Linked DNA regions of Cricetulus griseus. The protein of the gene in region 5 purifies or fractionates together with the protein of the main gene of each other region. This does not show direct contact. Links are inferred from orthologs where the notes say so. Each region holds a gene or a part of one and is shown on either strand. Other genes may lie near its edges. The genes, in order: Stau1, Ybx1, Larp7, C1qbp, Ddx21, Dkc1 and Rsl1d1.

The links.
Region 1: the proteins of Ddx21 (region 5) and Stau1 purify together in Homo sapiens (affinity purification with mass spectrometry; 4 studies listed by BioGRID and IntAct, with this or other methods). This does not show direct contact. The link is inferred for Cricetulus griseus from reciprocal best matches to the Homo sapiens genes DDX21 and STAU1.
Region 2: the proteins of Ddx21 (region 5) and Ybx1 purify together in Homo sapiens (co-immunoprecipitation; 4 studies listed by BioGRID and IntAct, with this or other methods). This does not show direct contact. The link is inferred for Cricetulus griseus from reciprocal best matches to the Homo sapiens genes DDX21 and YBX1.
Region 3: the proteins of Ddx21 (region 5) and Larp7 purify together in Homo sapiens (affinity purification with mass spectrometry; 5 studies listed by BioGRID and IntAct, with this or other methods). This does not show direct contact. The link is inferred for Cricetulus griseus from reciprocal best matches to the Homo sapiens genes DDX21 and LARP7.
Region 4: the proteins of Ddx21 (region 5) and C1qbp purify together in Homo sapiens (co-immunoprecipitation; 3 studies listed by BioGRID and IntAct, with this or other methods). This does not show direct contact. The link is inferred for Cricetulus griseus from reciprocal best matches to the Homo sapiens genes DDX21 and C1QBP.
Region 6: the proteins of Ddx21 (region 5) and Dkc1 purify together in Homo sapiens (co-immunoprecipitation; 3 studies listed by BioGRID and IntAct, with this or other methods). This does not show direct contact. The link is inferred for Cricetulus griseus from reciprocal best matches to the Homo sapiens genes DDX21 and DKC1.
Region 7: the proteins of Ddx21 (region 5) and Rsl1d1 purify together in Homo sapiens (affinity purification with mass spectrometry; 3 studies listed by BioGRID and IntAct, with this or other methods). This does not show direct contact. The link is inferred for Cricetulus griseus from reciprocal best matches to the Homo sapiens genes DDX21 and RSL1D1.

The regions. Positions count from the first base shown.
Region 1 is NC_048599.1:12,445,467-12,450,186, reverse strand, and holds the start of Stau1 (double-stranded RNA-binding protein Staufen homolog 1), read right to left. Parts: upstream 2,939-4,720; 5' UTR 2,700-2,938; intron 1-2,699. UniProt on the Homo sapiens protein: Binds double-stranded RNA (regardless of the sequence) and tubulin.
Region 2 is NC_048595.1:32,872,871-32,877,248, reverse strand, and holds the start of Ybx1 (Y-box-binding protein 1), read right to left. Parts: upstream 3,038-4,378; 5' UTR 2,889-3,037; coding exon 2,729-2,888; intron 2,330-2,728; coding exon 2,266-2,329; intron 1-2,265. UniProt on the Homo sapiens protein: DNA- and RNA-binding protein involved in various processes, such as translational repression, RNA stabilization, mRNA splicing, DNA repair and transcription regulation.
Region 3 is NW_023276806.1:31,273,890-31,277,389, forward strand, and holds part of Larp7 (la-related protein 7), read left to right. Parts: intron 1-2,748; 5' UTR 2,749-2,749; coding exon 2,750-2,936; intron 2,937-3,109; coding exon 3,110-3,210; intron 3,211-3,288; coding exon 3,289-3,372; intron 3,373-3,472; coding exon 3,473-3,500. UniProt on the Homo sapiens protein: RNA-binding protein that specifically binds distinct small nuclear RNA (snRNAs) and regulates their processing and function.
Region 4 is NC_048600.1:84,786,851-84,791,470, reverse strand, and holds the start of C1qbp (complement component 1 Q subcomponent-binding protein, mitochondrial), read left to right. Parts: upstream 1-1,488; 5' UTR 1,489-1,553; coding exon 1,554-1,779; intron 1,780-2,186; coding exon 2,187-2,337; intron 2,338-4,620.
Region 5 is NW_023276806.1:274,615,376-274,619,300, reverse strand, and holds part of Ddx21 (nucleolar RNA helicase 2), read right to left. Parts: intron 3,455-3,925; coding exon 3,335-3,454; intron 2,613-3,334; coding exon 2,539-2,612; intron 1,711-2,538; coding exon 1,551-1,710; intron 869-1,550; coding exon 734-868; intron 1-733.
Region 6 is NC_048604.1:750,407-754,940, reverse strand, and holds the start of Dkc1 (H/ACA ribonucleoprotein complex subunit DKC1), read left to right. Parts: upstream 1-1,483; 5' UTR 1,484-1,623; coding exon 1,624-1,639; intron 1,640-2,339; coding exon 2,340-2,407; intron 2,408-2,850; coding exon 2,851-2,937; intron 2,938-4,453; coding exon 4,454-4,534.
Region 7 is NC_048600.1:35,521,200-35,525,124, reverse strand, and holds part of Rsl1d1 (ribosomal L1 domain-containing protein 1), read right to left. Parts: intron 3,522-3,925; coding exon 3,428-3,521; intron 3,344-3,427; coding exon 3,221-3,343; intron 1-3,220. UniProt on the Homo sapiens protein: Regulates cellular senescence through inhibition of PTEN translation. Acts as a pro-apoptotic regulator in response to DNA damage.

The DNA.
Region 1 (4,720 bases), on a different chromosome or scaffold from region 5:
GACTTTCATCACTGCTCCATTTTTCAACTAGTCATTAATAGCTCAGGAATAACTGACTCGGTTCATAAGGAGAAAGACTGAAACCTGGGCTCTACCTTGAGGAGGGGAATCCGTTAACTCTGCAGCTGTTTTCCTGCTTTGTATTAATCATATCTCAACAAAGAAGCCAGACTCCCCCCCAAACAAAAAACAAAAAACAAAAACTGTCAGTCAGCCTGAGGTGATCTAGTTAAAGTCAAAATGACTAAGATTATGATAAGTTTGGGGGTTGTTTCAAAACAAGCTAGATTAGAGCCAGGTGGTGGTGGCATATGCCTTTGATCCCAGCAGAGGCAGGAAGATCTCTGTGAGGCCAGCCTGGTCTAGTGATAGAGTTCCAGGACAGGCTCCAAAGCTACAGAGAAACCCTGTGTCAAAAAAACAAACAAACAAAAAACCAAAAAAATAAGCTAGCTTAAAGGAGGGAGTTCAAGTAGAAACAAGACTGACCTTAGCTAGGAGTTAATAATTGCCAAAGCCGGGCGACCAATACACAGTGCCCTCTATAGTGTTTAACTTTCATACTTAAAAATAACTTCAGAAGCCAAGCATGACAGCTCACACCTGTAATCTCTGCACCTCAGTGGGTGAGACAGGAGGACTGATAGGAGTTCAAGGTCAGCCTAAACTAGAGATACTGAAAAAAAAAAAAAAAAAAAAAAGGCTAAAAAAATAACTTCAAGTTCTCTACCACAGCATTAAAATATCACTTCCCTGAAATAATTTTCGATGTGACACAGAATATGCTTGGTGATACTTACAGAATCGTTTGTTTGAGAGCTGTTAAAAAGCCATTACATTCAACAATACACAATACACAATATTTCCTGACAGTTACAAATTTTTGGAAGATATCAAAAACAGTAATGCCTTGCATTATTGAGATGGGTGTGATATAAACATTCGCCACTTACTAAGGAAATTCACTGCCCAAAACAATCTGGTGATTGTGGGCTGAAGAAATGGGTAGGTCATGCTTAGAGACTGTCTCACAAAATAAGGCAGAGAGCCATTAAGGAAGAGCAAGACAGAGGTTGACCTCTGGCCTCCACAGGCACACAAGGGCATGCATATATGAACTGTCTCCCCCTCCCCCCCCCACACACAGAGTAATCCTAAGGCATAGAAGAGTCGTTGGGCACAGCAAACACACCATATTATTCTTGCGAATGAGTTTGCATGTCTTTAAGGAAGGGGATGTCTATGTCATTAAGCACATACTTAAAACAAATACGGACACTTTGAGATGGGCTCAGCAAGTGAAGCAGTTGCAGCAAGGAGCCTGATAACCTTTGAATCCCAAAACCTTTGAATCCCAAAAGTTGTCTTTCCACTTCCCCAACAGCTGCCGCTGGTGTAACACTCAAAAAAAGAACTTAATCTTGAGAGAGAAAGGCTGAGTCAGACTAAAAAAGAAGCTCTTCTAAAAGCTCACCAGAATGGTTCAGACTGCCCCTTCCACACTCACCAACTGTATTTTTTAGTTTTTACTTCAACAAGTAGCGACGTAATTTACATGTGATAAGCACAGATGCCTAAAAGGCCAAAATCCTAGTTTAAATCTCTTCTAGCACCATCTCAAGAATTACAGCCACAAGCAGATGAAAAGAGTGACCCTAAAGAAGGCCCCCACATCACGAAGGGCAAAACAAAATAAAGTTTCTACACCAGCAATACTGCCACAGAAAGGGAGTTGTGCTCAGGGTTTGGGGAAACTGCTAACTGGGACCTTAGAGTGAAAGACAAATTCAACCAAAGAAAGTGAAGATCTGCAGATGCGGACCCGGAAAGCAGGGTTTCACATCTGCACACTGCACCTCCAGAGCCTGACACACAGGAGGGGAGCCTGTGCCAGCAACTTTCCCAGAAAAAAGAATGACAACAAGGTTCTGGATGGATGGTGGCAGGGAAACATGGGACAGGTTGCTGAGCCTGGGGGAGCGGTGGGTTCCCCGCAGCTGCTTCTACAGAAAGGATGGCTACGTCTTTACATCCAGATGTGCCTGCAAGTGTCCCCATTAAGCGCGCGCCCCTTTCCGATGCTAAGCAAGCACAATGCCCAGGCGCTGGGAGTGGGCACGCGGGTTCTTCTGCCTCGGAGGAAAGCGAAATGGGAAGGTAGGTCAACTTCTGTCCAGTCTGCACCCTAAATTATACCTTCATATCACGCTAATAAATTATGCAAACCGTTTATTGGGACACGACATGGGTCTGGCACGCTGATAAGCGCTTTACACGCCCCCAATTCACTGCACCTTCACAGTCGGAAGAGGCAGGGACAGGGCTGGGACAGGATTAGCCTTCTACCCCCCTCCCGTCCCCTCACAACAGAGACACAAAGAGTGTGAAGTGGCTCGCGAAGGGGCAGAGCCGGGAATTGGCACCCCGTCCCGCGGCTCGGCAGTGGCTGCAGCACTGTGCACAGCGCCGAGACCCGGGGGGCTCCCGACCGGCCCGGCCCCTGCCCGCGCCCCGCGTCTCACTCGGGCACCGAGCCCACGAGCGGCGCGGAGGGCCCGCCTCCTCCGGGAAGGGCCCCGGGCGGGGACGGGCCTGGGCCGCAGCTCGCGCGCCCGCGAGGCCTAGCCCACCCGCCGCCCACCTCCCGCTGCCGCCGTGCCTACGAGGGCCCCACCGAGGCCCGGGCCCGGCCGCCTCACCTGCCTGCTTCCCCGGAGCTCGTCCACGGGCCGGCGGTCCTGGGCGGCGGCGAGGACGGGAAGGAGCAAGGGAGGAGGGCGAAGGCGAAGGGACCGGGGAGGGAAGAGGCGGTGTGGCCGCGGAGGAGGCGGGCGCCGCCGGGCCGGGGGGACAGAAAAAGGGGCAGACGACACAGGCGCGACGGCCGCCAGCGCAAACGCTGAAGAGCGGCTCCGGCGCCCGCAGCCCGGCAGGAAGTGACGGGGGAGGGGCCGCGCCCGCCCCGGCCCCCGCCCGCCTCCATGCCGGCCCCCCCCACCGCGGCTGGGACCACAAGTCCCGGCGGGCGCCGCAGCCTGCCTGCGCCCTCTAGACACGCTAGGGCGTCAGGGGCCGGACAGGTTCTGTTGTGTCGGGGCATGCTGGGAGTTGTAGTTTCGCGGGAGCTCAAGCTGGGCCGAGAAAGCAGGCCTGTCTTCCTTTCTTTCTCGGGTTTATGCTTGCTTCTGCGCAGTCACTCCTTCTCTATGTCAGCATTTGTTAACCTGCTGCCCTGTGCTAGGTCAGAAGCTGAGAAAGCGGCTGGGATGCACATGTCCTTGCCCTCATGACGTTTACATTCTAGTGCGAAGTATGAGCCTGAAACAAACAAGCACAAGTGTTTTCTGGCTGCTCTCACACCCCTCTAAGCAGAGTGTGCTTCTGTGGACAAGAGGCTGGTGTGGGCTTGTTTGATGCAGTCCTGGGAATTGAACTATAAACCACTTCTACCAGTGAGCTCCATCACCCACTCATCACATAGTTTTTTAAGCTGACTTCTTAGATTTTCTTGTTTTAATTTTTTAAATTGTGTATGTGTATGTGTGTTTAGATCACTTGAAGTATGTGCTATATGAGGAAAGCAAGATTGAAAAGCACTTCAGAGTTCAGATAAGCCATTCCCAAATTGGCTGGAAAATTGTTACACTGGACTACCTCTAAATGTTAGAAGGAGATATCATGGAAGAAAGCCCTCTTTAGAAAGCAATAGAAAAAGCTGGACTTCGTGACTAACACCTCAAACTCCAGCACTTGGGAGGCTGGACAGGATCTCTATGAGTTCGAGGCCAGCCTTGTCTACAAAGTGAGTTCAAGGGCAGCCAGAGCTGTAACACAGAGAAACTATGTCTCAAAAAGAAAGGAAGGAAGGAAGGAAAGAAGGAAGGAAGGAAGGAAGGAAGGAAGGAAGGAAGGAAAGGGAAGGGAAGGAAGAGGCCAGGCATTGGTGGCGCAAGCCTTTAATACCAACACTCGGGAGGCAGAGGCAGGTGGGTCTCCGTGAGTTGGAGACCAGCTTGGTCTACGAGAGCTAGTTGCAGAATAGCCTCCAAAGCCACAGAGAAACCCTGCCTCAAAAAACGAAAGAAAAAAAAGAAAGGAAGGAAGGAAGGGAAAAGAGAAAAAAGAAAGAAAAGAAAGGAAGGAAGAAAAAGAGACTACAGCCAAGTGGTGGCAGTGGCAGTGGCGCACACCTTTAATGCCAGTGGAGGCAGAGGCAGGTGGATCTCTGTGAGTTCAAGACCAGCTGGTCTGCAGAGAGAGTTTCAGAACGGCCAGAGCACTTACACAGAGAAACCCAATCTCAGAAAAGCAAAAAAAAAAAAAAAAAAAAAAAAAAGATTGAGCATGATGTACACACACATACACCTTTAATCAAACAAAAGCAGGCATATCTCTGTGAGTTGAGAGCAACCTGGTCTACAAAGCTGCACAGAGAAACCCTGTCTTGAAAAACCTAAATAAATAAATAAATAAATATTTTAAAACATCTCAAAGTGGTGAGGAAAGTATGGATTTCATTCAATAAATGGTTGGGACAAAAAAAAAAATGTTGGGACAAAAGCTTCCCCTTGATGGGGAAAAGTTAAATCCAAGTTTCTTACCATATAATAAGGAATGTACCAAACCAAGAATTTTTTAAAATTGTATTTAGTTATTCAATGTATGGGGCTGTTTTGTCTGCATGTGTGTCTGTGCACCATGTATACAGTGTCTCAGGAGG
Region 2 (4,378 bases), on a different chromosome or scaffold from region 5:
AAATAATCTGCATTTTGCTGGGCGTTGGTGGCCTTTAATCCCAGCACTTGGGAGGCAGAGACAGGCGGATCTCTGAAAAAATAAATAATCTGCATTTGAAAATGTCTTGGAACAAACAATTTGACCAAGTTTTAAGAATGCATCACAGGTAATAATTTAGACTTCAATGAACCTATCTTTAAAGGTGAGATGAACTCTTATATTTGAATTATAAAACAGCTGAAGGTCCTAGAATACAGGGCCTGGTGTTAGTGGCGCACGCCTTTAATCCCAGCACTGGGGAGGCAGAGGCAGAGGCAGGTGGATCTCTGAGTTTGAGGCCAGCTGGTTCCAGGACAGGCTCCAAAGCAACAGAGAAACCCTGTCTCAAAAAACAAACAATCCTAGAATATACAACTCAGAATTCACAGTGCATTCCAAATACCTATCTCCCATTTTACATTCTATACTGTTTAAGTAGGACAAACCTCTAGTTCACTGAAACCAAACCTCAACAGTTATTATCTCATTTAAAAACCAATGCGTCAATATAATGGTCTGCTTAGAAACAAGCACATTTTAAACAATTAAATCAGTAATTGGGGTTAAGATATTCTAACAAAGGATCATCATAAGCTAATTACATTTAAGTTGCCCAGAAAAATGATCAACTAAGCTACTAAGGACAGTCTATTGTAATCTACACAATTGCACAACATAGAACAGTATACAAATCTTGGAAAAAAACTGCTTAAAGGAAAGTGATAAGCCTAGCCAAACGCTAAAATTTATTAAATGCATACCAAAAAACCCCACAGCTAACCCAACTAGAAATGTGGCCAAAGAGGACTAGTTAACAGCACTGGGCTAAGGGTTCTAAAACTGTCCTTTGGAAGGTAGGGTATACAGACTAGTCTCAGCATCCTCTGGGACTGTTAGGATAGAAATCTCAACCAAAGCACCGACAATGACCAGTTTAAAGCCACCAGGTAACTAACCCTATACAAGCAGCAAAATATTATATTTCCCTCTTTGCTCACTAGTAACCCATGGGGGGGGGTAACATGGAAAATGTAGCATTCCTCAGGAAAGCGAACAGCCTACCACAGTAGAAAATCCTAGTCTGGAAAAACAAAATGTTTCCCTGTAATTGCTACTATAGAGAACAGACCATTAAGTGATTGTAATCGCTTCTGTTTGAGTGTTTCCACAACACGGCGTGGTTCAATGAACGGTTTTTCATCACTCCGTTATTTTAAAAGACTAGCTGCCAATTTGATAGTGTCCACTTCACAAGCACTCAGTCACTCTTAAGCGTCTTTCCCACCATCTACTTATTTAACGCCTTCTAAGCAAGCATGTAAGAGAGAAAATGCTGAAATGGCGCCAAGTCTCACAGCTGTACGGCCAGGATTGCTGCTGGCACTCGCGGTGCTCTACACCCATGCAACTGCACTAGCCTTGGCAGCCATCTTGAAAAAGATGCCGGGCTCACAAGGGAGCCCAGAGTGCAGCCACTGCACTCACCACCACCACCACCGGCTACAAACCATTCTAAACCATTCTCTGGATCTATGAAGATGTAGTTTGCAACTAGATTAAGGACTTAAGGCCACTCCAGTAAGCTACAGCCAAGCTTTCACAAAAATTGATTTGATCAGCCATGATTCCCGGACAAGGAAGTAGAAGAAATAAAAATTGAGGAAGAACCATTTTCTTCGGATGTATTATTTGTCGTTTTGGATAAATATGAATCGTCTTTGGCTATAGGAGTTCTATAGAAAATGTGCTCGAGGTTCTACAAGGAATGCATATTTGAGTCGACTAAACAAAGGCAACATAACCTTACAGTGCAGATAACATCTCAGGCACTTGACATGTCAAATCATGTTCCCCAAGAGGTTAACAAGGTGAAAAAAAAATCACCTGTATGTTAATTAGTGGGTCACATTCTTACATAGCAATTTCAACGAAGCAGGAAGGATGTCAAGGTTAAAAACGTGCTTAGCCTGGAGTTGCCTCAGTTTGATGCAAGGTAACTGTTAAGGCATGGTTCATGCGCCGCGCTTGCATAGACCTGCTTTGTGCCAAAGCTTTGAGGCTAGCTAGCTCAAGATTGGTATTCAACGGCAAAACAAAGCAAGCCTACAGACCCCACTAATCCCGTCACCCAAGAACAAACACCAGGTTTCCAACCCCTCTCCCTGTCAGGCCCGCGGTGGAACCGGCCCTTGAGATTACCCATGCAGGGAGGCGGGCCCGAGCTTTTCTACCCCGGCATCTCACCTGTTGATGAAACCGTATCCGTTCCTTACATTGAACCATTTTACTGTTCCCAAAACCTTCGTTGCTGGAAAACAAAGCACAACAAGGTCCAATCAGCAGCTGGCCCTGGAAGTCGGTCCAGGATCCGGCCGCAGGCCCGGGCCGCCGCCCTCACCGCACACGTGGGTGCGCTGGGCAGCGCGGGTCCGAGGTGGGTGTGCGCCCGGGAGGCGAGCACGTGAGGGCCGGGAAAAGCAGCCCGCGCCGCTCCGGTTGCGTAGGCGGCGGGGCGGGGATCCCGCGCACGAGGACCCGAGGCTGGTGGGCGCGGGGGAGGGGCGGCCGCGGCCGGAGCGGCGGCGGGAGCCCGGCGTGCGCGCGCGGCGGGCCTCGGGGGGGAGGGGCGGCCGCGCAGTCGGTGGCTCGGGGCCGCTCGCCTAACGGTCCGGCCCGCGGCCCACCCCCGGTCCCCTCTGGGGCTCACCGATGACCTTCTTGTCCCCGCCGGCGGGCGCCGCCGATGTGAGGCCGCCCGGGCCGCCACTACCCGCGCCGCTGCCCGTGGAGCCGGGCTTGGTGTCGGCGGCGCTGAGGGCGGCGGCGGGGGCGGCGGGCGGCTGCTGGGTCTCGGCCTCGCTGCTCATGGTTGCGGTGGTGGTGACTGGGGCCGGCGGCGACGGCTGCGGCTCCTCCCGGGGTGTGATGGTGACTAGGCCGGCGGCGGCGGTGGGGCTCTCAGGGCTCTCTGGGGTCCGCTCTCCGCTCCCGCTACCGATCGAACTAGCGAGAATGGCGGGACGGGCGGGATAAGCCCCGCGATAGGCCCGCCCTCATCCTCTTTTATTGGCCAGGATCATCGTCAATCCTACCACCTGACCGGGTCCCTAGCGCCTATTGGCTCGCGCTCCGCGTCTCTTGCGCGCTCATTGGGCCCTTTGGCGACTAATTCGGCCGACCCACAGCCGCTCCTGCCTTCGCCGCCATAGAGACCGGAACTAGAATGAGCTGCTCGGCCGTGAGCACCATAGAGTACCGGGAGGACGCGTAGAGGGAACGTGTCCGCACGGGGTTGCGCTCGTCGCGCACGTGGGCCGCGGTGGCTGGGCCTACCCGTGCTTCTAGAAGGGGCTCTCTCCCTGGACCGGGTGAGCGCCGCGGCCTCCTTAATGGCTCAGGCTTTTGGCGGTCCAGTCACCTTGGAGGGACCACGCAGGCGCTCCGGCTGCCACGAAATCAGTGTTTTCAGGGCGGGGGTGCTCCTTTACCGGGCGCACGAGGAATGTGTTTCATACTGGCCACAAATTGGATTTAATTTAGTGGATAAGTTAGACTCCCCCTTCCCCCCACACCAAGCAACAATGTTGACAAGGATTGCAATCCATGTTTTTATATCCTGTAAAATACAGGTTGTCTGGTGCTACTGAATCCCCCCGCCTATACCTTCATTCATTCTTTATTAGGCATCTACTATTGACGAGGCATTTAAATAGTTTGCCAGTAAGTTTCTGCCTTCTGATGGAGGCACAAACTTACACGCCTAACACTTCATAGTTGGGTGACCACAGCCTTTGGGGAAGGAAGGAAGTGTTGGGTGGTGACTTTTCAGGCAAAGATAGGTTTGTGCAAAGGCCTAGAGGGCCTCAAGGAAAATGCAAATAAAGGGATTCAGTAGGAGTAAAAAGAAATATGGGTTGTAGAGGTGGGCAGGGTCAACTAGGTGTATTTAATGTGAGATTGATTCATCCTGAGGTCACAAGTGGGGAGGGTAATTTTTAGAGTTTTAAGTAGGGAGTCTCATCTTAAAAAGAAAAGGCTGCTGCTTGGGGAATGGGCTGCAGAAAGAGGAAGGATGGAAGCAGGGAAAGCAATTAAAGGGACCCAAGGTGGCTCTGTGTAAAGGCACTTGAGACCAAACCTGAAGATCCTAGTTCCTATATGAGCACTGTGGCATTCATCTCCCACCCCCCCACCCCCCAGTAAATAAATACATGTAATAGCAATTACAAGAAGAAAGTTAGTGTAGTAACCCTTATCCCTTGCCGGCTAAAGGCCTCCCTTTGTCAGTTCTGGAAAATCTGATCCTGAAGCAAGTTAGGCTTCTCTGCCATTACTTTTTGCTTAAAGCAGAGACAGC
Region 3 (3,500 bases), about 240 Mb from region 5:
GTATTTGATCACTCTGAACTGGAATCTTAAGAGAAACACAAAGGAGGGCCTCTGGGCTAAGAGAGTGGACTGGTAGCTGTGACATTCTTGTGTTTTTACTGTTCTGTCTGCTTTGCTTTAGAACTGGTGGCTATAAAGTAGTGTGGCTATAAATTCCACTAGTGGTTCTCAACCTTCCTAACGATGTGAACCTTCCATACAGTTCATGTTGTAGTGACCCCCAACCATAAAATTATTCTGTTGCTACTTCTTAACTGTAATTTTGCTACTCTTATGAATTGTAATGTAAGTATCTGATATGTGACCCAGAAGGGGTCTTGATCCACAGGTTAAGAATCACTGCTTTAGATGGTGGGCTTTAATGGGAAAGAACTGTAGAGTTTGAAGTCTGACCTTTATAATTAACACTTAACAGTAGAGTCTGCTATGTGATCATTGTATTCTATATTTTTACCACCTTAGAAAAGGATTTGAAATGCTTAATACCTTATTTTCATTATATAGACCAGGCTGACTTCAAATTTAGAGGTACACTTGCCAGTACCTCATGAATGTTGGCTGGGATTTAGGTGTATACCACCATGCCTATCTCCAGGTACTTTTAAATAAATCTAACTACTTCACAAATATGTAGTAACCAAGTTGAAGCTTCTGCCTCTATATAGTTAGATTATAGTGGAGTAGATAGATAAGAAAGCTGTTGATTCCAGAGGGTGATGAGCATAGAAAGAAATGTTGGAAATATAGTACAGCTTGTCATCAAGGGGACTATTTTAGGTTGGATGAAAAAAAAAAAAAAAAGCCTCTGAAACAGTGGCATTCATAGACCTGGGTGAATATTATACTATATAGGTGTATTGAAAAAAAAAAACAAAACAACAACAACAGAAAGAACAAAGGTCTGGAGATGGAAATGGCTTTAACATATTTTAGGAACTTAGGGATAACATGTTATAAGCCTGCTGAAAAGTTGTAGAAGGAACCATTGGAGAAGTATGTCCAGGTCAGATTAAATAGGATCTAGTAAACCACTGTAAGGTCTTTGGGCTCTGTGCTGAATGTGCTAAGTCTTTGGGAATGTTTGTACAAAGAATTGTTCTGATTTACATATTTAAGTAATTATCCTGTACAAAAATTGATTATAAGAAAGCAGTAGTAGGGTGACTTGAGAGATGGCTCAGCGGTTAAAAGTACTACTTGCTCTTCCAGAGTTCAATTTCCAGCAACCACATGGTGGCTCACAACCATCTGTAATGAGATCTGGTGCCCTCTCCTGATGTGCAGTCATATATACAGGCAGAACACTGTATATATAATAAATAAATAAATCTTTTAAAAAAAAGAGAGAGAAAGCAGTAATAGAAGCAATTAGACTATTAAGGAAGATCTTGGATAGTTCAAATGAAACATAATAATAACTTGGACCAAGTGGTTTATTTAGAATGAGAAGTGTTAATGTTCAGGCTGTATTTTAAAGGCAGTGCTAGTACAACTGATAGTGTACAGTAGGAAGAATTGAGAATACTTTCTGGTCTTTTTGTTTTGTAGTTGGTATTTGTCAAAGTGGTAAAAATCTGGTAAAATTTTAGTATTCTTTTATTATGTTAACTCTTCTAAATGAACAAATGGAGTTTGAACAATTGACTATTGGAATGGGGAACTAATAACTGTGTTTTGTGAGGTGTATAGCCCAATACTCATTAGCCAGGACCCCCAGAAAGAATGAGTCAACAACAGAGGCCAAGATATGAGTCTAGTCATAGACACTATATGAGGGTAAAACACAGTAGAAGGAATCAGAAAAGGGAAACTCTTAAAACCGTATGAAGAAACTATTTACAAGGAAAGCATTTCTGAATGTAAGAGCTACTGGGATGTCAGGGAAGCACTGGGGTTGGGCAGACATTAGCTCTAATAGTAAAGTTCCACTAGAATGGCAGGTGTGAAATCTGAGGCCTCTGCTTATATATTATTTACCTCACTGTTTTACCAGTTATTAGTTTTGATGTGCAGCTAGCTGCATTCTGTGTCTTCAGCATTCAAGCAGATGCCTTATTACTTGTATGCTTTCAAAACTGGTACTTGGCTGGCCAGCTTATACTTTGAAAATGCCAAAAGTTGACTGGTAAAATGCATATTTTATTAAGATTTAGGTGAGATGCATGAAGAGCTTTGTTATGATAAAGCATGGGGAACCATAGCAGGAGAGGGTGACTGAGGCAGGGGACAAACATGCCAGGCAGACAGAGCTTAAGTAAGCTTTATTAGAAAGCAGAGGGGGAGGGGAAGGAAACAGAAAAGAGGTAAGGAAATAATGTAAAGAGAAACAGAAAGGGAAAGAGACCGAGAGGACTGGAAGAGAAAAGGGAGACAGGAAAAGTCCTATCTGCCCTCCCTTACCCCGTAAGTGGGTGGGATCTTTTAAAGAGGTCCATTGCACGTGGATGCTGAGTGTATTCAGGCTGGCCTGCCTGAATCAACTTATGAACTTGCTAGCCTCCACGAAGGTATCAAATCCCTTGGAACTTAAGACAGGTGGGTGCTGGGAATTGAACCATGGTCTGCTGAGAGGACCACCAAGCCACACACACCCGACATTGGTTTTTGCTTTAAGGCTGGAAGTAGGCTCAGGAAGGAGACAGGTGCCTCAATGCATGTGAAGCATCTTGCAAAACACACACTTAACTAAGGCCTCAGGCCCTCTTGTCCAGAAAAATAGGTGATATTAACTCCTATATTACTTTACAGAATGGAAACTGAAAATCAAAAAACTATGCAGGAAAGCACTGAGAAGAGAAAAGAAGAAAAAAAAAAACGCTCCAGGGTTAAACAGGTGCTTGCAGACATTGCCAAGCAAGTGGACTTCTGGTTCGGGGATGCAAACCTTCACAAGGACAGGTTTCTTCGAGAGCAAATCGAAAAATCTAGAGATGGATGTAAGTTTGCTCCCTCTAAAGTAACTCTCAGGCCTTATCAGGCAATAATACCAAAGCATCCAAGTTTATGGGGCCAGTGCCTGTTTTTATTATGATTCTTAAAATCATAAGCTCAGCAACACACACACACACAATTTTTAAAGCTAACAGTATCTACCACATTTTGCAACTAGATGTGGACATCTCTCTTCTGGTGTCTTTCAACAAAATGAAGAAATTGACCACAGATGGGAAGCTAATAGCCAGAGCATTGAAAAGCTCATCTGTAGTAGAGGTAATTTTTTTCACTACAAGTTAATCAAATTATCACACAAAACTGTTACTTTAAAAACTCAATTATCTTTTTTAAAAGTTGGACTTAGAAGGGACCAGAATCCGGAGAAAAAAGCCCTTGGGAGAGAGACCAAAGGATGAGGAGGAACGCACCGTGTATGTGGTAAGAAAAACACAAACTTAATTCTAGTTTCCATTTATTGATAAAATGTAGTTATTTAAATGCTTAAAAACTGTGTTCATGCCACTTATGGTTTTTACAGGAGCTACTTCCCAAGAATGTTACTCACA
Region 4 (4,620 bases), on a different chromosome or scaffold from region 5:
TTGGACTTCTTTCCCTTATTTATAGAATGCTGTTTAGATTATTAAACAGTAGTCTTATTGCCATTCATTTCGTAAGACTTGGTATCTATATTTTGGGGTTTTTTTCCAGACAGGTTTTGTTTTTTTTGTTTTTTTGTTTGTTTTTTTTTAACTCCGTGGCTTTGGAGGCTGTCCTGGAGCTAGCTCTTGTAGACCAGGCTAGTCTCGAAATCACAGAGATCTGCCTGCCTCTGCTTCCCAAGTGCTGGGATTAACAGTGCCTGCCATCACCGCCCAGCTGCCAGACAAGATCTATGTAACCCTGGCTGTTCTGAAACCCACTGTGTAGACAGGGCAGGCTGTCTCCTTAAACTCAGAGCTGTCTCCTTCCAGGTGCCGGGAGTATAAGACATGAGTGTTTGTTGTTTATGTGTTTGCCTGTTTAACCTACATGTCTGCACCACACTCACGCCTGGTGTTCATGGAAATCAGAGTCTGATGCCCTAGAAACTCCAGATAGATCTGGGACTAGAACTCTAGTCCTCTGCAAGAGTAACAAATGATCCTAACCACGGAGCCTTACGTCCAGCCTCTGGTATCTTCAATTCTTAACATAATGTGATGATGTAAGCCATGAATTCCTGCTTCCAGGAAAATGATAGTCCATTAAAAGCTGGATGAACTATTAGGGGGTGCAGAGGTTTCCAAAATAGATGCCACTGCATAGCAGCTGGGTGCAGGTCAACTTGAGCATTCCCGATGTTTAGAAGGTTCCAGAAGTGGTTTTTTGTTTTGTTTTTCGAGACAGGTTTTCTCTGTGGCTTCTTTTGGAGGCCGTCCTGGAACTAGCTCTTGTAGATCATGCTGGCCTTGAACTCAAAGATCCAGATCCGCCTGCCTCTGCTTCCCAAGTGCTGGGATTAAAGGCGTGCACCACCACCACCGCCCAGCAAAAATTCCAGATGCATTGTCCAAGGCTACAGCTTATTAAGGGTTTGAAAGAAGGGATCTGCGGATTAAATAAAACAGCGGGTCACTCTTGAAAGAAGAATGCCAATTTTATTTAGAGGGGAGTTGATTTATATACCATCAGCAGCACCCTAGGAAGTAACTCAGATCAAAGTCCATGCTCTTAAGGCCCTGACAATATGCAGATAATTTGCATATTTGTAAACAGGCCGTGTCTGCAGGAGGGAAAATGAATAGCACCTAGCCATAAGGCAGCCAGTAGCTCCCCAAGGGTCCTGTGGATCAGAGAAGAAAAGCAGACTCCCAGGGGGTCCCCCACATCCAGAAGACTTTTAAGTGAGGTGATCTCAGAGTATGTGGATTGAGAAGAGTGGGCAGTAAAGGAGAGACAGCCCATCAGCCCAGGGAGAACAGAGCTAAGGGATTCAGGACATCCCCGTTGCACTGGAGGCCCTCAGCAGAGGGCGCAGTCTGGCTCGGTTCCTGTCGCCCGGTGACGTAAGAGACCTTCCCGGGCGGGGGCGTGGCTTCCGGCGGTGTTCGAGGTCATATATACTGTCTTGCTCGACAGGGTCGTCACTCACTCCGCACGTGTCTTCCTCACCATGCTTTCTCTGCTGCGCTGCGTGCCCCGCGCCCTGGGCGCCGCTGCCACGGGCTTCCGCGCCGCTGCCCCGGCCTCGCCTCTCCCGCAGCTGCTGCAGCCCGCGCTTCGACCGTGCCTCCGGCCCTTCGGGCTGCTCAGCGTGCGGGCCGGCTCCGCACGGCGTTCCGACCTCTTGAAGCCCCCGGCGCCCTGCTCCTGCGGCTGTGGAGCTCTGCACACCGAGGGTAAGATTCACGCATCCAGGCCGGGATGTGGGGACCCAGCTTGGAACGGATCCCGAGCTGGACCCTCGCGATCGCAGGCCCCACTCCTCGTATCTTGGAAATATGACTTGGCAAAAGCCCGGAGGGGTCGTGGTTTGACAATGTGGTTGCTGGACATGGCTTTTGGCAAGTGAAAGCGGGTAGTTGGGAATTCTTGTTTTATACGGAGAGCAATAATACTAAGTACACTAAGGAGAAATAACTGCTAGAAGAGACATCCTGGTTTTACAGAGTGGGAAACGGACGTTTTCCGGAGTGAATTGGGCTAGAGTCATAGAGCAGCCATAGAAACAGATTAGGCACAGTCCAGGTCTATAGGGTAAGGCAGTTGGCTTTCTCTTTTTTGACCATGTTGGGTTGTCTTTTAGGAGACAAAGCCTTTGTTGAATTCTTAACGGATGAAATTAAGGAAGAGAAGAAAATCCAGAAGCATAAATCCCTTCCCAAGATGTCTGGGAATTGGGAGCTGGAAGTGAACGGGACAGAGGCTAAATTATCGCGCAAAGTTGCTGGAGAAAAGTAAGTACTGGCCCTGGAGTTCTAGGAGACTTTATCACTTACTCTGTCTTGGCCATCCCCATTAGGCCTGAGCTTAGGCCCCATGCTTTGGTAAAATGGCTTTTGAGAAAGCATGCAATTGGAAATTTTCTTAGGTTCCAGGGAGGACATTCACTGACAGATTTGCTGTGGCCTGGTAATTAATGTGTAAAGGGAAGGCTGTTGGGATGGCAGACACAGGCAAGCATTGGGTTATTGGTGACAGTGCTGTGCCCTGCCTGGATTTAGGCACTAGATTTTAGGAATGTTTAAAGTGCTGATTTGTTTAGAATTCACATAAAATTATCTCCTCTGGCTTGTGTTTATAACAGTTGAAAATGCAAGATATGTAACTTTTGTTTTTCGAGACAGGGTTTCTCTGTGGCTTCTTTTGGAAGCTGTCCTGGAGCTAGCTGTTGTAGACCAGGCTGGCCTCTTACTCACAGAGATCCGCCTGCCTCTGCCTCCCAAATGCTAGGATTAAAGGCGTGCGCCACCACCCACCCCGGCACGCCCATGCCTTTAGTCCCAGCCCACCTTTCTCTGAATTTGAGGTCAGCCTGGTCTACAAGAGCTAGTTCCTGGCCAGGCGTTGGTGGGGCATGCCTTTAATCCCAGCACTCGGGAGGCAGAGGCAGGAGGATCTCTATGAGTTCGAGGCCAGCCTGGTCTCCAGAACAAGTGCCAGGATAGGCTCCAAAGCTACACAGAGAAACTCTGTCTCGAAAACACAAAAAAACTAGTTCCTGAACAGCCTTCAAAGCCACAGAGAAACCCCGCCTCAGAACCCCCCCCCAAAAAAAAGTAACAGGATGAAATTACAGTGTAGAAAGGCCATCAGAGGTAGAGTTCTTTGTCAAGCTTAGCTTACCCCTCCCCTAAACGGGTCTCTATGGTACTTTGTAGCACAGACTGGTTCTTCATCCTTCTGCTTCAGATCCTATGTGCTAAAGTTTCAGGCCTATGCTACTACACCTGCTGCCCCTAAAACCTTTAACTTTGTTATGCTGATTTGTTACTCTTTCACCAGTCTTAGAGTCCTGCCTCTAAGGGCTTCTCTAGCATGTGTGAGGCCCAGGGTCAGCCCCCAGTGAGTGCCCCTTAAACACACATGTGTAAGAAAGCAGCTTTATCCAGTGGGGGCCTGTAACCCTAGTTCAAAGCTAGGCTGGGCTGTGGTGGTACACACCTTAAATCCCAGGGAGGCACATCTCTTGAGTTCAAGCTCAACCTGCTCTATAGAGCAAGTTCCAGGACAGCCAAGGCTTGAAAAACCTTAGAAAAGTTCAAAGCCAGAAGAAAAGGGTCATTGACTCTGGGGTGTGGCCACATTTGGTGATTGTCTTCTAACAGGGTGGAAAAGTTCTCTCAAAATTTGCAGGGCAGTGGTGGTGCACACCTTTAATCCCAGCATTTGGGAGGCAGCCTGGACTACAGAGTGAGCTCCTCTCCTAACCACCCTCCCTACCAAATCCAACTACATGCCCTGTCTCTTACAAAAAAAAAAAAAGACAAACCACCAGGCACACCAGTACTCAAGAGGAAGTGGCCAGTGGATCTTTAAAGTCAAGGCTAGCCTAATCTAAGTAATGTGTATAAAATAGCATTGAGTTTGTTTTGTGTTGGCCATTGGGACCTACCCTGAAGTATGATATACCTATTCATTGTAGAAGACTGATTTTTTTCTCTTTGCAGCCAGTACCAATTGCAGATATCTTGGCTTGGGAGCAGGAGCCCAACTAGCTTGAATATACCTAGCAAAGCCCCATTTCTAAACAGTACAGGTTGACACTAGTGGGTGTCAATCTTGGGTAGATCCATGAAGCCCTGGACTTGATCCCTAGCACCAAGGATGGAGAGATGTCTGGCCCTCTTAATATCATTAATTTAAGGAATTAGGTTCCTGCATACATGAGGGGAAAATGTAAGCCATGTTCAGACTGCCTGCCTAACATGTGTGGGGCTCTGGATTCAATCTCCAGCACTACACACACTTAGACTTTTTAATGTTAGGGCTAAGAAACCATTGCCTGGCCAAAGGTTGCAAAGAGTTCTGCAATTCAGTGTGCTTTTATGTGGGTTGGCACTGCTGAAGTAGAATGGTCCTGAACTTCTGCTTCCAGGTATCATGGCAAAGAAATTTATCTCATTTAGAGCATGTTTTGTCACATACTAATTCCTAACAAGGTAAAGTTACCTGGGCACAGGGACAGTATGCAGCTGTGAACGTTTGCCTGGTGTTTGCTTGAGCTCAAACCTCAGAAA
Region 5 (3,925 bases):
CTACACACCTCCCCACCCACCCACAGGCACAGATATCAGGCAGGCGCTTAAGGGCCCTAAAATTTGTGGGCTTCTTCTCCATGCATGGGGAACTCCAGGAACACTGGGACATTCAGGTATCTAGAGAACTTTTGCCCTTGAGTAGGCCTCAGGGACTAACGCCTTCATTGTAAGCACTCAAGAGGGAAGGAAAATTCAACAGGGCGAATATTATGCCCTAAGAACTCTGTCATACAGGTTAAGAACTCATCTAATTGTGTATTGAACCTGGGAGTCTTCACCGAGAGTCAAAGCTGAGTCTTGAAGAGCACTGTGGAGGGGAAGCACCGTAAGCAACCAAGGTCAGCCCCCACGGGGAATAAGGCACAGGTTGCTTGGTATCCTCACAGTAAAGGATGCAAGGGGTGGTGATGTGGAGCTGGTAAGTAGAACAAGTTTACCCCCAGTTTAGGCTCTCTGATCATGCAAATCCTACATCATAAGCACTTTCACCTAACACAGGGGCTCTGGGTTCCCACATGCACCCATGTATAAGAACATCAAGGGATCCCATAATCAAGACTATTTCCCCAATAATACTTATCTGCCCTTTTTATTCTCATTTCTCCACAAAGGTAAAGTGATATCTGCACAGCAGTTTGGGTAGGAGGCAGCACCATGGGGGATGCAGACACATCCTGGTTAACATGCCAACCACCAAACTCAGCTGAGGTCTTGGAGGCCCCGCACTCACCAGTTTTCCTTTGAGGAAGACCATTCCCCTCACTTTTGCATCAATGCTCTCGCCCAGCTGCTCCTTAAGTTCTTTCCAAGCATAACTAATGTTGTGCATTTCAATGGAGCACCGTAGGATCATGGTCACAAAGCCCTTAGGGGAGAAAGGGGCATAAAAGTTAGGTCTTGAAAACCAATCAGCAGCATAATAAACACTTGCTCTGGGAGGGAAGTATCCCTAGGATAGCTCCATTGACGACAGCGTACCACCACACCACCCAGCCACACAGAATGGGCACAGGTAGACCAAGGCCATCTTAGGAAGGCAGTGGGGAGCACCAATGTCGGCACCTAGTCATTAGTTTCCTAAAGTGTCTGCACTGGAGGAGATTAGCTGAAGCACTTAAGCTACCGTGGCCTGCAATTATTTCAATAAAAACAGGAAACTTCAATGTACCAAAGGAATTCACCATCACAACATTCAAGTCAGTGGATTTTCATTCAGTTTTAATAGATTGTAATTCATTTATTTGTCTCTCTGTGAGCTTAGGTGTAGAGGCCAGAGACCAGGTACAAAAATCTGTTCTGTCTTACTATGTATATCCTGTGGTTGTGAGACTTGGCAGCAGGCCATGTACCTGCTGTGTATTACTGGCCCTTCAACCCATGAGCAATCAGTGCTGTTTCTCCTCTCATTCCACCCCTGTTGAGTACGTATTTAATTAGGACACAGTCAGTGCCTTCCTAACCCCTAGAGAAAGTGAAGACAATTTACAGAGTTCAAATAAACTCTTTCAGGTTTGCTTATGGCATTTTATAAAGTACCAAAACTTTACCGCTTGTGAGTTGATCAATGAGCGCTGGTCGACTGAAGTGGCCCCTGAAATGTGGGCCAGTGCGGCTGCCAGGGCCTCTACAGCTCCTTTCTCCTCAATCAGCTTCTCAGCAGATTGCTTAAAGTGATCAATGGCAGTAGGAGGCACAGAATCTAAAAGCCTGTGGTTTGAGAGTAAACTTGTTAGAGAATAATTAAGACAAGGAACACTACAGTAACTGACAATAAATGAGTTTTAAAATGGGCATCAGCACAACTAGGGGTGTAGCTAAACTGGCACAAAGTCAAGTCCCGGGTTTAATCCCAGTTTATTGCAGATGCTGCCACGTGCCTGTAATCCCAACACTTAGAGGAGGTGGAGACAGGGGGATCTGAATTGGAAGGTCACCTTGAACAAGTTCCAGGCTCTCTCGGGACAGAAGACTATTTCAGCATGAAAGAAACAATGAGGTTCCACAGCACATTTGTTTGCTCTTATTTTGCTCTTTGGGATTGGGTCTTATTACATCTGCCTGGAACTTCCTATGAAGAGCAGGATGGCTTCACACTTATCCTCCTGCTTGAATTGAATGACAGATGTCCATTACTATGCCCAGGTCCCATGTGCCACCAACGCCTGGCTTCTACAGGATAATTCTACACAGCAATACCACTACAAATAAAATCGCTACAAGATACAGCCAAACAATCCTTGCTCCTATCAGTTTTCATTCTACCACAAAGGGAAGAAGTGAATGAAGATTTGGAACGTTATCTGTGATCCCATCTAACCAGGCACAAAGTGGGAAACATCCTTAAAATGTCCAACACATACCTAACTCTTGACAGTGGCTTCCCTTGAGAAACAGGGCAGGGATAACTAGAAACATGGATATATTTTCTACCAAGCTCGCTGTCTGATGAAAAGTAACTGGCTGCATTAACTCTTTATAAAGAATACAGAAAAGCAGCAGCATGGAAACAGACCTTGGCGATGGTGGAGAACATACCTGATGGCATCCTTGCTGGAGGCTTTTATTATTTCTGCTGCAGATGGAACACCTATCCGTTTAAACTTAATTCCCTACAAGAAAACAAACCACAATTTCATGTACAAAGGTTATTGTTTCTGAGAGTAACTTTCTTTTTTAAATTTTAAATAGTTTTCTTTTTTCTCAGATTTATTAATTACGTATACAGTGTTTTGCCTCAATGTGAAGATGGCACCAGATCCCATTATAAATGGTTGTGAGCCACCATGTGGTTGCTGGGAATTGAACTCAGGACCTCTGGGAGAGCAGTCAGTGTGCTCACCTCTGAGCCATCTCTCCAGCCCAAGAAACTTATTGTGATATAGGCTGATCCTCAATGTGAGACTGATGATTTTTCTCATCCTTAGTGTCAGGCTATGGGTTTGGGAATGGAATTAATACCACAGGAGAACGCCTACCTTACCACCTCTAATCATGGACACTGCTTCCCCAGTGTTTGAAACTCATGGTGATCCTCCTGCCTCAGTCCCTCAAGTGTTGTAGGTCCATTTACCACAACCCAGTTCCCTCTATCCTTCCAATGCTATCTCTCACACCATCCCTTCTCCATACTCTAATCTCAAGTATTTCTGGTCACGTTCATACCATTGTTCATATTATATATACGAATTGTCTTTCAAGTATAATACGTATCACTATTTTCAAACACAAGTTATCTAACCCATATTTAAGATGCTTTCCGCCAAGGTCCTAAAGACTGTCTTTGCCTTCAGAATGTAGTATGTGCTGAATTCGAGTTAGAAAATCACCTTACCGCTTTCTGTTCCACTTGTGCTAATTGGTATTCATCCTTGTGCTGATAAAAGCAGATGCAAACCCCTGTCCTTCCAGCTCTGCCTGTCCGCCCCGAACGGTGAATGTAGGACTCCACATCCTATGAAAACCAAGCACAGGAGTGATATAACTAAGATTAAGGAGTGTGTGCAGGTCAGTGAATGAAACTATGAGCTTCAAAACCTCTCAAACAGTGCTCACTAGCCTGTGTGCAAATATTCCAAGGGTATGTGTATTTCCAAGCTTCAAGTGACTATAATAAAAGTATTAAAATTTGTTTTAATAACAGTTTATTTAACTCTATACATTCAAGTATTTTTTTAAAAATTTGTTAATAAGGTAGATTGTTTCTATTTACAACAAAAAGACATGGGACCAGCCTAAATGTCCAACAGACTAATGGATAAGGAAAATGTATATGGACATAATGAATTTTACCATATCACAAAAAATTCAATGATAAATTTTGCAGTCAATTGGAAAGAACCAACTTGGAAGACAAACACTGAATATTCTTTCTTATATGCAGAGAGTAACTTCTTTATCTATCTATCTATCTATCTATCTATCT
Region 6 (4,534 bases), on a different chromosome or scaffold from region 5:
TGAGAGAAGTAAGGGTGAAGAAAAACCACCAGATTCTGGAACTCTCTGAAAGCAAAATTTTTCCTAAAAGATTTGAGCATCAATATAGGACAAAGATGAAGCCAGTGGACAAATGGAGAATGAGTACTTCAAATTCACTCAGCCAAATATTTACCATGGGACATTATAAAACAATAATCCTTAGTTCTAAGGGTCATATCTGTAAATAGTCAATTCTGATCATTACCATTGTTATCAAAATAAATTCCAGAAAGAATTGGGCAAGAAAACACCAATATAAGCCACAGTAAAAACAAAAGTGAAAAAAATATGATCTTGGCATTGCAGATCAGAAGAAAAGGAATATTTTTGTTGTCAGCAGCAACTAACTGGAAAACTATTTGCAAACGATTCCATTTACAATGAAGTATTAGATAACTAATGAAGTATCGTATTCACTAGAACTAGGGTATGTATCCAGAAAGCTGAAAGAATTTACTGAGGTAGAATAAGAAATAGAGTGGAGAAGGATATTCCAGAGATTTAAGACGAAAGGCAACAGCACAGATTAATAGCATAAATCGGGACTAAATCCTGGATCTCTTACTTCCTGGCTGTTACACATATTGTAGCCACTAGAGCTCTGAGCTTGTCTTAGATCCCGGCTCTGAAGTTAGAATCAATGTATACAGGTTAAGTATGAGGCACTTGAAAAACTTCATGCAAGAAAAAAAAGTAAGCCGGGCGTTGGTGGTGCACGCCTTTAATCCCAGCACTAGGGAGGAACAGGCAGGTGGATCTCTGTGAGTTCATGACCAGCCTGGTCAACAAGAGCTAGCTAGTTCCAGGAGACAGCCTCTAAAGCCACAGAGAAACCCTGTCTCGAACCCCCCCCCCCCCCACAAGAACAAAAGTAAAATATCACATACCACTACATATTGCTTGTTAACATATGATTTCAGATGTGCAGGGTTATGTAGAGTTAACTATTGAGAATCATTTTCATTCTTTTTAGTTTGATTAGGCTGCTGTAAAATTTAAAAGTCCACACGAGGCTCGCACTGAATTCCTATTGGCCAATACAGTCATAACTTGATAGGGATATCAAGAAGCAAAAGGCTTTCACTTTCACTCTCTCTGTACCTCAACGTCCTTTTCAAATGAGAATGGCATGATGGCAAACAGAAAATGTCGATATGAGTTAGCACTAGATAATATTTATAGCGTGGTAAGTAGGGTGTGCTTGCGCTGAAGCAGAAGATAGACTGAAACCTAGAAGAGGGCACAGTGGAGGCCACGCCCACTCGCTCCAGACTGCTGCCGTGCGCGCTTCTCCGAGGTTCCTAAGCAGAGAGCTAAGGGTTGGGAGGAGTTTCCAGGCGCATGCGTAGTCGCACCTCGGTGTCTGAGTCAGCCAATGGGATTGAGTAGACAGCCCGCGCGTTCCTCAAGACTTCTCCCCCCCACCACCCCCGCCCCGACTAGCCATCCTCTTCGCCACTTCCCTTTCCTAGTCCCATCAAGCTAGGGGAGGTGCAACGGTGGGCGGGTCCCAGCGGCGCGGCCTGACCTGTCTCAGACCTTAGGAGTCTGTGATTCCTAGCTGGTGGAGGCTTGGGCGGGACGCACGCGGTACGGTGCAAGATGGCGGATGCACAAGGTAAGGGTTACGGATGGTCGTGCCTTGAGACCTGCGCGGCCTCCTGATAAGCTGTGAGCTAGTGATAGTGAGGTTGTATCGTGATCTGCGGTTCCGCGCATTCCCGCCCTCTGTTTGGCTGCTTCGCCGCTAGGCCCTAGCTCTATAGGCGGATGCGCGAGTACGAGAAACCTCCAGTGACTAGAATCCATTAGGTCCGGGCCTTGCCCAAAAGACTTTACCGGGTCCCCTTCCAAAGGCATCTCAGCCGTTGAGGAGACTCTCGTGATAAGAAGACGTGGTAGCGTTTCTTCTGCCACTAGACAGGATATTACTGAAATGAGGATAGCAAAGATGCAGAGGAAGGGGCAGAGGAGCCGGGAGCCAGTGTAACTCAGACTTGCAGGAAGATTTTAAGAGATCACAAGCCCTTACGGATGGTGCAGTGGTTGGTTGTGGAACTTTCCAGCCTGTGGACAAGCGCTTCCTTAAGTATATTTGGCCTTGCCATAGCCACGTGGAGAACCCGAAGGGAAGCCAACACGTGCTAGAGTCATTTACCAGCTAAGCCATCTAGTGTTTGGCCTCACAAATGTAAGTTTTCTTTAGTAATGATAGACTTAAAACTATTTTCTTCTGTCTATCCTGATTTTATGCTTAATTTTAAACTTTGGTTTTAATTTTCAAAGAAATCTTCAAATCTTGAGTTTGTTTCTTGTAGTAATTACTGTCCCAAAGAAGCATAAGAAGAAAAAAGACCGGAAGCCATTACAAGAAGAAGATGTAGCTGTGAGTAGGAAATGTTTTACTTTGCTTTGAGTGAGAGAGATATTTAAACACATTAAAGGAGGAAATGCTTTAAAATACTTTCAAGCAATATGCTGGCACTCAGTGGTCTTTATGTAAGAACCAGCAAAGACCTGAAATAACAACTCCAGAGAAATTTTCTATCATGCATAGCTTACTAAATGGTGAAATGTTCTCCCTGAATTTTTGTTCCTTATTCCATCAGCAGACCCACAGTTTTGTTAAAATATTTAAACTTAACTCCCTATCCCCAAAGTTTAGTGAGCTCCTTTTTCAGATCTCTTTCAGAGGCCCTAGTGACACTCAATTTCAGAAATCAACACCCCTCCTTCCCCCTTGTTTGTTTAAAAGTCATTCACTTCTGTTCTAGTGTTAGAATTGTCCAAAGTCAGGTGGGAAGATAATGTGTTTCTGCTTTATTAAAGGAAATTCAGCATGCTGAAGAATTTCTTATCAAGCCAGAATCTAAAGTGGCTCAATTAGACACTTCTCAGTGGCCCTTGTTACTAAAGGTATGTGCTATGTGTATCAGATGAATGCTTGAATTTCATATTAGTTCTAATTAAACAGCTAATAAAGAATGCTTGTTGTTGGCCTGGACATGGTGATGAATGCTTTTAATCCTAGTGGGCTAGGCCAGCCTGGTTTACATAGAGAGACCCTGTCTCAGAGAAAAAAGAATGCTTAGTGCCAGCATGTTTTACATTTAGAAAACTGTCAAGTGATGAAGCATTAAGATAAATTTTTCAATGTATCTGAGATGAAGGACTCAGTTATTTTTTTTAAATTTGTAATTCATCCAACATTGTTCTAGCACATTGTAGTCACCAAAATGTTAATTGCCATCAGTTTTTAAACAATTGCACTTCTGAAATCATCTCTTGTAGACTGTTTCAGTGCCTAAGAACATGAGTTTTGAAGCCAGACACCTTTGAATCAAGATTGTATGTGACCTTGGCCTAGACATTGAACTAATCTTACTGTATTAGTTGCTCATGATATTTTCTCTTAGGATGATGTGCTGGGAGTTATAGCAGGTATTTTGTGAAACATGCTTAACAGTTCCTTATATGTCAAAGATTTTATGGTTATTATTTAGGGATTTAAATAGTAGCATTGAATAATGGGTTGAACTAAAATTTGTAATTTTCACAAAGTGGATACCACCTATAAAGTTGAGACATCTCTTAACAAAGAGGGTTTTTAATTATAAATTTTTTTTCATTTATTAGAGTGTGTAGATGAGATAGGGGGTGCACATCACACATGACATGCATGCAAAAGTCAAAGAACAACTTGCAGAAGTCCATTCTCAACTAGTTTGAGTTCTTGAGGTTGAATTTGGGTTGTTAGGCTTGTCAGCAGGCATCCTTACCCACTAAGCCATCTCACTGGCCCAACCAAGAATTTTAAAATAGTGAAAGTTGTGGTAAAATAGTGAAGTTTGTTTATATCATTCAACCAAGTTGATTTTCTGCTTGATTATAATTCACTGTCTTTTGGATGGCATTTGCATTTCTTATGTTGGCCCTGGAAAAATAGCACACAGAGATGGGAGAGACAATTAAACAAGGATTGCTATTTGTAGTAGGCATGATGAAACTAAACTGATGATGAAAGATGGGCTTCAGTTGGTGAATTCTTCCTAACTGGTCGCTAAGCCTTAGGAGTCAGGAACTGAAAAGAAACAGAGAGCCGAGGTAGGTAATCTGGAGCAGAACCAAGCTGTTCATGTTGAGCAAAGTTGCCAGCCATCTTCAATTTGGGTGATCTGAGAAAGCCAAATCTATTTTGTGTCTTTAGAGCATTGACTCTAAGTTCTCAGATTTTTCCTTTTATCTATAGTATTGGGAGTTTCCCCAGTATATAAGAAGGCTTAATAGTATGTCACATCAATAGTGGTGTTAATAATAGAAAAAAACTGCATTTATGGCCTTAAGGGCTGCCATGTTTGGTGGTGCTACTTACTGACTCTTGTTTTACTTATATCGATGTGTTTGTTATTAAACTTATGTTCCTGTTTTCTAGAATTTTGATAAGCTGAATGTAAGGACAACACACTACACACCTATTCCTTGTGGTTCAAATCCTTTGAAGAGGGAGATTGGG
Region 7 (3,925 bases), on a different chromosome or scaffold from region 5:
CTTTCTTAAAACAGGATCTCTTATAGGATCTGGGGCTTGACAATTAGGCTACACTAGGCTGACAGGCCAGAACCCCAGGGATCCATCATCTTTCTCCACCTCCCCAGAATTGAGATCATACTCAGACACCATGGTTAAATGGAGAACACCTTTACCAACCCTTGAACCTCTAGTTTTTAGGGTGGTCATGGCTTCAGAGTACTTCCAAGGTAAAATGCCAATCACTCCTTGGGGGGGTGGGGGGGAAGAGCGTACCTGGCCGCCCATGTCTCTCTGTTTTTCCAGACAGAGTTTCTCTGTGTGGTCCTGGATGCCCTGGAACTCAGAGATCCACCTGCCTCTGCTTCCCGAGTGCTGGGATTAAAGGCGAGTACTACTATGGCCCAGCCTGTTTCTTCATAGACTGAAAACTACAGCGATAAAGAATTGGGATGTTCCAAATGGCGCTCTTGAGTCACCTGAGCAGGGACCCACAACTGAGAAAGACCTTTAATGGATATAGAAAGACCCACCCTAACTTTAGACAGTACATTCTAGTTGCAGGCCAGACAATACAGAACATGTATGTCAGAAGGAGGAAGAAAGGTCATCTGCAGAGCTCATTCACCCAGTTGCTGATGTCAATACCAGCTCTCAAAAAAATTCCACAGGTCTCAGTCACCAGAGTGGGAGTGCTAAAGCATGAAACAGAGTGACCCAAGAAAGTGTGAGATAACTTGTTACTATTACAGGGTTAGCTGATTATGGGTAGAGACAACCAGCTGTAGCATCATAAGTCTTGTACTTTATATTGTTAGACTGTGCCTATAAGTTTTAATTAAAGACCGCTACATGAGGACATTGGCTTGGTGATGCACACCTTTGGTGGAGTACCACCACAGGCAGATGGACCTCTGTGAGTTAGTTCAAGGTCAATCTGGTCTACATAGTGAGACCCCGTCTAAAAAAAAGCAAACAAGCAACCAGGTAGTGGTGGTGGAGGCTTTTAATCCTAGCATTTGGGAGGCAGAGGCAGATGGATCTCAGTGAGTTCAAGGTCAGCCTGGCCTACAAAGTGAGTTCCAGTTCAGCTAGGACTGTTATACAGAGAAACTCTGTCTAGAACCGCCCCCCCCCCCCAAAAAAAAAAAACAACTATGAGGTGGAGAGATGGCTCAGTGGTTAAGAAAACTAGCTGGTCTTACTCAGAGGTCGAGTTCAATTCCCAGCAACCACCCAGTAATGATAACTGGTGCCCTCTTCTGGCCTGCAAGGATACATGCAGACAGAAACACAGTTTACATAATTAAATACCCCCTCCCTCCAAAAGCCAAGAAGCAAAACAAATAAAGGGCTTATAAAAATTTTTAGCAAGGTGTTGGTGACAGTTCATCTGTGAGTTCAAGGCCAGTTTGGTCTACATAGCAAGTTCCAGGTCAGCCAAGGCTACATAGTGTGACCTCGTCTAAACAAAAGTGGCTGGAGAGATGGCTAAATGGTTAAAGAGCATTTGTTCTTGAAGACCTGGTTGGATTCGCAGAATCAACATGGAGGCTCACAATAACTCATCAGAGAATAATTCCAGAGACTTCTGACTTTCTTGGTCATGGAAGGACACATACACACACAGTATAGAATATTCAGAACTAAGTGAAACATTCATATACATAAAACAAAAAATTCGAAACAAAGCAAAACCAAAGATAAACTGAACCCCTCCCCCAGGATATGACTTATGACAGTATTCCAAAAAGTGAGGATAACTATTTTTCTGTCAACACAGAGGCTACACTTTAGTCTGCTCCTGTTTTAACCAGCAAATGCAGCTCTGCAGTTACTATCCTGATTCTCTGGCAGTGGCCTGGTTGTTTAAATCTCGGCCTAGCTGGGGTGAAAGCCTGATAGTTCAGAGAGGTGGAGTAGCAACTAGCTGACCTTCTCTCTTTGTTGGCAGCATCTCTTAAAGTATACTTCCACTCCACTAATTCCTCCCTACTACTTTCTTGTGTGTCTATTTGTTTCAGACACCTTTGGACTCTATAATTACTTTCTGTCAATTAGTTCCTAACTTGATTTCCTGACCCCAAGGTTAATAAAAATGCAAATTTGGGGTTGTGATCGAATATGCCACGACAGACAACTTAGAAAAGAATGAAATTGTGTGATGGTTTGAGTAAGAATGGCCCTTATAGGCTCTTGTATTTGAATTCTTATTCATTAGGGAGTGGCACTATTTGAAAGGTTTAGAACATTGGGCCTTGCTGGAGAAGTGTATCACTGGGAGTGGGCTTTGAGGTTTCAAAGGCCCAGTGTCTCTCTTCCTGCTGCCTGTGGATCTGGATGTAGAACTCTGAACTCATCTAGCACCATGTCTGCCTGCATGCTGCAATGCTCCCCACCATGTAGACAATGTACCAAACCTCTGAACCATAAGCCAGTCCCAATTAACCAACAAAAAGAGATGGCTTTGTGCTTTTTTCTTTCCCCCAGAGACAGGGTCTCTCTGTGGCTTCGGAGGCTGTCCTGGAACTAGCTCTTGTAGACCAGGCTGGTCTCGAACTCAGAGATCTGCCTGCCTCTGCCTCCTGAGTGCTTGGAGACTTAGTGCTTTTCTAATAGACCTAGATTGAATTCCTAGGACCAACATGGCAGCTTACAACTGTCTGTAATTCTAATTCCAGGTGATCTAACACTCTCAAACATACACACAGGCAAAACATTAATACACATAAAATAAACCTTAACTTTCCCCCTAACTATTGGACCCACATGCTAAGAACATGCCTTACCACTGAGCTATAGTCTTACCATTTCAGCTTCTGTGTAGCTTTGGAGCCTATCCTGGCATTCGATCTGTAGACCAGGCTGGCCTCAAGAAACGCCTGCCTCTGCCTCCCAAGTGCTGAGATTAAAGGCGTGCGCCACCAACGCCCGGCTCAGCTTCAGTCTTAAATGTATTTAAAACGAGGCCTTATAATATAGCACTACTGAACTTGTACCACCAGAACAACTTGCTAAGTTCAGAACAACACTCTGAACTTGATAGGATCTATCTCCCTTGGCTACATTTAGATGATTATTATTATGTTTTTTTGAGACAGGGTTCTGTGTAGCCCTGGCTGTCCTGGAATTAACTCAGTAGATCAGGCTAGCCTTGAACTTAAGAGTGCTGGGATTAAAAGCAGCCCCCCCCCCCACTTTTTGATTATTATGCCCACCCAATATTTTAACTTAGACTAACCTTTCTTTTCATGCTACGGAAGGATAAGGTGTTTTCATCCTGACATGTGACAAATGAGGAAAAGATGGGAAGGGAAACAGACTTCTCAGTTTTCAGGAACAAGAGTTTCACACTTGGCCATTTCTGAAATAAAGAAATAAATTCCATCTACCCATATACTGCTGCTGTTTTTAAACATTAAAGACTCATGTTCTTGCCATACTGTACCTCTGGCAATTTTTCTGAAAGCACTTTTGAGACAGCCAGGATGTTTTCAACAATGTGCTGAGTCTCCATTCCAGTGTGACCAATACGCACAGTACTAGAATTTAATGAATAAGATTCTTAACTTTTGAATTCAGAACGACATTCCCTAAAGTAAAACACCACCATGCTCAAAGACACACACACAGGTTGAACCATGAGATGGCTCAACTGGTAAAGGAACAACTAGTCACACAAACCTGACATTCTGAGCTCAAACCAAGGAGCCTAAGGATGGGAATTCAATCCCAGTTAACTCAGTGTAAAAGAGAATTGACCCCAGAAACTGCCCTGACATCCATACTCCCATCCAAAATGGTGATCCCTGAAGCTGTTCTGAGCAGAATCACCCCAAAATGTCACTGCTATCTCACAGTTCTCTTCTCCTTCTAGATGAGTCCTTCTCAAGTAAAGAGTACCTACCTCTCATGGATAACAGCTAATGGACAGGCAATAGGCAAT